Linked DNA regions of Oryctolagus cuniculus. The protein of the gene in region 1 purifies or fractionates together with the protein of each later gene. This does not show direct contact. Links are inferred from orthologs where the notes say so. Each region holds a gene or a part of one and is shown on either strand. Other genes may lie near its edges.

Region 1 (3,801 bases):
AGTTACAGAGAGGCAGAGGCAGAGGCAGAGAGAGGTCCTCCATCCAGTGGTTCACTCCCCAAATGGCCATGTCAATCGGAAGCCGGAGCCAGGAGCCTCCTCCAGGTCTCCTATGAAGGTGCAGGGGCCCAAGGACTTGGGCCAACCTTTATTGCTTTCCCAAGCCATAGCAGAGAGCTGGTTCGGAAGAGGAGCAGCTGGGACTCGAACCTGTGTCCATATGGGATGTTGGCAAAGCAGGTGGTGGCTTTACCCACTACGCCACAGTGCCAGCCCTCCTAGTTTCCTACATGAAAATATTGAGGCTCAAACAGGTTAACTATTATACACAGGATTGCATGCTAAGCCACACAGGGAGCATAGAATGGAAATCCTTTTTCTTTTCTAGGACCCCACAGACATCAAATTGCTTATGTCAGTGGTTTGTATTTACTTACTTCTCAGAACCAGTATACTTCAGAAGCATATAACTGTCATTAAAATGTGTTTCTGAGTCACCTATGTGTTTATTGATGCTTTAAAATATGGAAACGTTACCATTCGAGTATTTACAAATGTAGATGCTACATTATTAGGTGTCTTCAACAAATGGGGTAATATCGTTCTTTTTTTCCAAAGATGTGAATGTTAATTTGTGTTATAAGAACCAGAAAGAAAGAATTCATGGTTTCTTGTGCCATTTTTATTTTTTCAGATTTTTCCACTTCTATAATTCCCCCATCTCTGTGATTATTTAAAGCTCTGACCATGGCTCAGAATCACTTTTGCTTTTCCCTCTCCCCTAATTCCGCTTCAGTACTTCAGCTCATTTGCTGCCGAGTCTTATGTGTGAGTTTGCCAGGTGAATCCAATTGCTGTGGAAAGGAAGGATGGTTAGGAAGTCAATGTGACGTTAAGGAGTCTTGCTAATCTGCTGTGTAAGCTGAATGGAGAGACAGAGAATTCTTTTCCTTGATGAATCGAGGAGGTACGTGTTTTGACCTCTGTGTGTTTCTATTTGGAGTGATTCCTTTAAGGTTGCAATTTAGTTAGCTACATGAATGTTGCACCTAATTATCTCTGAAACAGGTTAAACAAACCTCTGCTGTTCCTTGCTCAACTCTTGCAGCCAATAACTGCTGGAAGTGATTTAATGCAGCTGGAGAGTAACCCTCACAATCATTATAGCCTGCAAAGTGTGAAACAATTACATCGTATTTTTGTGATCTCTTTGGTCCAAGAACGTGCATTGGACCAGAGTTGAAAAAAAAAAAAAAAGCCTCTTCCTATGAAAGATCGCTGTGTAAGTAGGGTGAGTTTTGGGACAAACTAGTGCTGTTTATCCGAGGAGAGCTTATTTTGACGAGAATTCACTTTAAGTGTGGAAGGAAAAACTCTCTGCCTGCCCGGCATCTGATAGACCCTTGCTGAGCGAGAAGCGCAGATGTAGCTCATTTGGAGAAGACGAAGGAAGAGGAGAAAAAGGAATGGGGTGGTGTGAAGGAGTGGTCCTTCATGTTTCCGAACTCCTGCGGTTTTTCCTGATCTTTACACTCACCTTGGCCTGGGGCTCTCTTTAGGGAGCGCGTACCATGCCCTCGCCTCTCGTCCTGCGCCGCTGCCTTGCTGCCAGCGAGTTGTCCCCGTCGGTGGACTCGCGGCCGTGCAGCAGTCCTTCGGAGCTCCCCGGGAAGACGGGGAAGCTCTTCCTGGGGGCCACTCCTCCTCGGGCCCCTCGGCTGCCTCGCCGTCTGGCCTGGTGCTCCATCGACTGGGAGCAGGTGTGCTTGCTACGGAGGTTGGGAGCCGGAGGGTTTGGCTCTGTGTACAAGGCGACTTACCGTGGCGTCCCTGTGGCCATAAAGCAAGTGAACAGGTGCACCAAGAACCTACGAGCATCCCAGCGGAGTTTCTGGGCTGAGCTGAACATTGCAAGGCTACGCCATGACAACATCGTGCGAGTGGTGGCTGCCAGCACGCGCACGCCCGCAGGCTCTAACAGCCTAGGGACCATCATCATGGAGTTTGGCGGCGACGTCACATTGCACCAAGTCATCTACGGGGCTCCTGGCCTGGCTGCGGAGGAGTCGGAGGCGCCCCACCATGGCACTGGGGAGCAGTTAAGTTTGGGCAAGTGTCTGCAGTACTCCCTAGATGTCGTCAACGGTCTGCTTTTCCTTCACTCACAAAGCATTGTGCACCTGGACCTGAAGCCCGCGAACATTTTGATCAGCGAGCGAGATGTCTGTAAGATTGGTGATTTCGGTTGTTCGGAGAGGCTGGAAGATCAGAGGTGCTGTCCCCCTTACCACCTGGGAGGCACATACACGCACAGAGCCCCCGAGATCCTGAAAGGAGAGGCTGCCACGCCCAAGGCCGACATCTACTCTTTTGCCATCACGCTCTGGCAGATGGCCACCAAGGAGGTGCCCTACTCCGGGGAGCGTCAGTACGTGCTGTACGCAGTGGTGGCCTACAACCTCCGCCCGTCTCTCTGTGCGGCTGTCTTCAGGGACACTGTGCCCGGACAAAGGCTTGGGGACATCATTGAGAGCGGCTGGAGGGCCAGTGCTTTGCAGAGGCCCAGTGCGGACCGCCTGCTGGTGGACCTTAAATCCTTAACCACGGAGTTCACCTGACTCCCGACCCGTTTCAAGATAAGCTTTTGTCTTTATTTCTATCTACTTTTAAGGAAGTGGAGATGTAGAAGAAAACATATTCGTAGCATGGATTTTTTAAAAAAAAAAAATAAAGTTACTGCAAACTTGAGTCTCAAATGCCTTTTCTTTGACAAATGGCAAAAGCTACGTGTTTAGTGTTGTTGCTAACTTACCTCATACTTTATATAGTTTTCTCTCCATAGGTCCAGTGCTTATTTGAACTATTCCATATGTTCAAATTTGTTGATAAATAACATATATATTCCATATATTCAAATTTGTTATTGATAAAAATATTTTGTCTAAAACAGGATTCCATTGCAGAAATGCTACAATTTTCTGAAATTCACACCATATGGTCCATCTCTACCACCTACATCCAAACTATTAACAGATCACTTACAAATCAGGTTATATACCAGATCAGTAAAATATTTTTTTAAATGCTTTCTTTCTTAAATTCGAGGGATTGGGAGGATGAAAAAAGAGAGCGAGAGAGAATGCTCCCATCTGTTGATTCACTCCCCCCAAATGCCTGCACAAGGTAGTTGGGAGCTGGGAACTCAGTCCGGGCCTCCCAGTTACGTAAGTCATCTGCCTCCCAGGCTCTGCATTAGCGGAAAGCCAGAGTTGGGACCTGGGCTGGGAGTCTGAGCCAGATATGTGATGTGGGATTCAGGCATGTTACCTGGAGTCTTCACTGCTTCAGTAAATGCCCGCCCCAGTTAAAAGCTGTAAAAAAATTAATTTGTTCCTATTCCTCTCGAGAATGTATTTGTAATGACCTTCACACATAAAATCCACAGACTGAGGTAAAATTAGAACTTGTACATTGGAGCCGGCGCCGTGGCTCAATAGGCTAATCCTCCACCTTGCGGCGCCGGCACACCGGGTTCTAGTCCCGGTTGGGGCGCCGGATTCTGTCCCGGTTGCCCCTCTTCCAGGCCAGCTCTCTGCTATGGCCAGGGAGTGCAGTGGAGGATGGCCCAGGTGCTTGGGCCCTGCACCCCATGGGAGACCAGGAAAAGCACCTGGCTCCTGGCTCCTGCCAGGATCAGCGCGGTGCGCCGGCTGCAGCGGCGGCCATTGGAGGGTGAACCAACGGCAAAGGAAGACCTTTCTCTCTCTGTCTCTCTCTCTCACTGTCCACTCTGCCTGTCAA
Region 2 (3,596 bases), on another chromosome or scaffold:
TGGGCCAGGCTGTAGCTGGGAACCAGGAACTGAGGCACGGGTGGTAGTGACCCAGGCACTTCAGCCATCATCTCCTGCCTGCCGGGATGTGCATTAGCGGGAAGCTGAATTGGAAGCAGAGCCAGAGCTCCTTAATCCCTGGGCCAGGTCCCAGCCCCACATCTTTTCTTCCTGTTGTAGTTGTGTTTCTCCTCTGAAATGACCAGGTTACCTGCCCCTCCCAGTGTGTGAAGCAGCTCTGCTAGCACTTTCAGCCCTCCACCCGCAAGAGGAAGCCCGTTCTCCCTTGTTTATCCTTCTGGATGACACCTTTTCCACGGAGAACGTTTCAGTATTTACATAGTAAATCTACCTTTTCCTTTCTAGTTGGAAAGGTCTTCCCTACTCTAATTTATAAAAATGACCTTGCTATGGGCATTTGGCACAGTAGTTAAGTCACCGCTTGGGACACCCACATCCCCTGTCAGGGTGCCTGGTGTGAACCCTGGCAACTCTGCGTCTAATCTAGTCTCCTGGGAGGCAGCAGGTGGTGGCCCAAGTACTTGGGTTCCTGCCTCCGACATAGAAGACCCGGACTGAGTTCCCAGCTCCTGGCTTTGTCTGACCTAGCCCTGGCTGTTGTGGGTGTTTGGGGAGTGAACCAGGAGGTTGATAATCTCTTTGTCTCTGTTGCTCTCTATGTCTCTCTTTCAAATAAAATTTAAATTTAAATTTAAAAAATTAACTCTGCTATATTTCTATAGTTTTATTTTTGAACAAGTTAATATAGTTGGTCTAGAATTAATTCTTGTTTATGATGTGCGGTCAGAATTTTAACTATGACTTCCTGCCCTGGCAGCCACTGCCTGGCCCCGCTCTGCACAGAGCTCAGCCTCTCCCCGGGGTTCACACCATCCGCAGTCCCCACCTCAGGGTTTCTGTTCACATCCGCATCCCGCGGTTTCAGTTTCAGTCCTTCCACTCTGTTTCTTTCCTCTGGGAGGAGAACTCCCTCGTGTTTTGTTTGTTTGAAGATTTATTTATTTATTTATTTATTTGAAAGAGTTACAGAGAGGCAGAGAGAGAGAGAGAGAGTTCTTCCATCCTCTGGTTCACTCCCCAAATGGCTGCCACAGCCGGAGCTGCACCGATCTGAAGCCAGGAGCTTCTTCCAGGTCTCCTACGCGGGTGCAGGGGCCCAAGGACCTGGGCATCTTCCACTGCTATCTCAGCCCATAGCAGGGAGCTGGATCGGAAGAGGAGCAGCCAGGACTCAAACTGGCACCTGTGGCATGAGAGGCCGGCACTGCAGGCGGCAGCTTTACCTGCTACGCCATAGCGCTGGCCTCTCATATTATTTTCGTTTTCTTTTTTTCCCCAAATATGCTTGGGAATTTTCTAAAAATTGCATTCAATGCAGAAAGTAACTACAGTAGTATTTTTTGATCAGTAGTATACAGTTATCTTGCGCCCATTTTTTCTTTTTTTAATATAGATATTTATTTTGTTTACTGGAAAACAAAGTTACAGAGAGAGGTAGAGACAGATCTTCCATTCACTGGCTCATTCCCCAAATGGCCACAATAGCCAGAGCTGAGCTGATTCGAAGCCAGGAGCTTCTTCCAAGTCTCCCATGTGGGTGCAGGGGCCCAAAGACTTGGGCCATCCTCCATTGCTTTCCCAAGCAGGCAGTCCAGCAGCTGAGACTCAAACCAGTGCCCATGTGGGATGCTGACACTGCAGGCTGGGGCTTTAACCCACTGCACCAAAACGCCGGTCCCTTGAGCCCATTTTTCCAATTGCTTTTCCCAATTCCCTCGGCCAGAGAGCTTCAGTACGCTGTTTAACTACAGAATTCCTTGTTGAAATTCCTACAAATGAGAAGGATTACCTTCAGCTTTGTTTGTTTTGTTTGTTTGTTTGTTTTGTTTTGTTTTGTTTTGTTTTTGTTCCTAGGCCCTGGGACTGGACAGTGCCAATGAGAAAGGCCTGTACAGGAGGGGTGAGGCCCAGCTACTCATGAATGAGTTTGAGTCAGCCAAGGGGGACTTTGAGAAAGTGCTGGAAGTCAACCCCCAGAACAAGGCCGCACGACTGCAGATCTCCACCTGCCAGCGCAAGGCCAAGGAGCACAACGAGCGGGACCGCAGGATCTACGCCAACATGTTCACCAAGTTTGCCGAGCAGGATGCCAAGGTGCGTGCAGGCCCCGCTGCCTGCCTCAGGGCACATGCAGGACAGGCCTCGCCCCCTCGATTGGTGCCCCTGGAAGGTTAAGGGTAGGAGACAGAGACAGGTAGACAGCGGCGCGAGAGGCCCAGGAGTAGGGAAGATCACTTCCATCGTGGTGACCCAAAACTGGTTTGCAGCCGGAGGCTGAGGTGGCGCCACATCGGTTGGGAGGCCCTGCCCCGTCCACACAGCACGCAGAGGACACACCTTCCCTGGAGATGCACTAAAGCATATGCTGTTTACAAAGTCATTAACCCATCAGGTTTTTTTTTTTCCCTCAAATGATACTGCTTCCTTGTTGAGACTTGGGGAAGGGTTACAGGAGCCTTGCCATGCCTCTTCCCTGGTGGGCGAGCGTGACAGGAGACGGGTGTCTGCAGGGGCCTCGGGCCCCTTCCCCTGAGTGCGTCCTCCACTCTGGAACCCCCACTGGCTCATGGACTTAAGTGCCCAGCAGTGGTCCCAGTTGGCAGGCTAGTCACGTCAATAAGCTTACTTTTTACATTTCTGTCATCTTAGTGCACACGCCCGTCCATCTGCTAGTTCACTCCCCAGCTGTCCACAAGGGCCAGGGCTGGGAACTCAGTTCAGGGTCTCCCAGCTGGGCAGCAGGGACCCAATCCCTTGACTCATCACCGCTGCCTCCCAGGTTCTGCATTCGCAGGAAGCTGGAGTCGGGAGCTCCAGGCGGATATTGAACCGAGCCCGTCCAGGGTGGGCTGCGGGCTAGCCCAAGAAGAGCACGCCCCCCGCCCCCGGGTAGCCGTGGGGAGCACAGCCCTGACCTCCCTACGGGGCGGCCCTGTCAGGTCAGCGCTGTGCACTCTGGCCTTGGGCCTGGTGAGAGCCCATCTCCCTTCCTTTGGCTCTAACCCTCTTGACCTCTGACTTCTTCCTCAGGAAGAGGCCAGTAAAGCAATGGGCAAGAAGACGTCGCAAGGGGTCCCCGGCGAAAAACGCACCGAAAGCCAAGCGATGGAAGAAGAGAAGCCTGCAGGCCACGTATGACGCCACGCCACGGAGGGACCAGAGTCCCCCCGAACTCGGCCCCTCCTCGTGGGCTTTCACCCAACTCAGGACTAAACAGTGTTTAATGTAAACTTTTGCTCTAGTCTTTGTGATTCGGAAGCGTATGGAAAACCGGTAGCTTCCCAAGAAACAGCCACCCTGCTGCTGCCCAGTGGGCCCCTGGAGAGGGTGGTGTGGGACCACTCCAGGTGGACAGAACAGCAGTGCCCACTGGGGCGGAGACTGAGCCAGCAGCTTAAGTCCAGTTCATTTCAGTGGATGTCAGTTCTGCGTACCCCACGTAAGGTCCCCTTGTGATAATCCTAACCATTTGGAGCTGTCTGTTCGGTTTTACATCTGAACTCTACTAGCACTGC

Evidence for each region. Proteins that work in one complex are often made in the same cells at the same time.
Region 2: the proteins of MOS (region 1) and FKBP5 purify together in Homo sapiens (affinity purification with mass spectrometry; 3 studies listed by BioGRID and IntAct, counting the BioPlex papers as one, with this or other methods). This does not show direct contact. The link is inferred for Oryctolagus cuniculus from reciprocal best matches to the Homo sapiens genes MOS and FKBP5.

Annotation. Positions count from the first base shown.
Region 1 is NC_091437.1:81,358,019-81,361,819, reverse strand, and holds MOS (proto-oncogene serine/threonine-protein kinase mos), read left to right. Parts: upstream 1-1,571; coding exon 1,572-2,618; 3' UTR 2,619-2,623; downstream 2,624-3,801.
Region 2 is NC_091436.1:133,897,445-133,901,040, forward strand, and holds part of FKBP5 (peptidyl-prolyl cis-trans isomerase FKBP5), read left to right. Parts: intron 1-1,935; coding exon 1,936-2,175; intron 2,176-3,111; coding exon 3,112-3,219; 3' UTR 3,220-3,596. UniProt on the Homo sapiens protein: Immunophilin protein with PPIase and co-chaperone activities. Component of unligated steroid receptors heterocomplexes through interaction with heat-shock protein 90 (HSP90).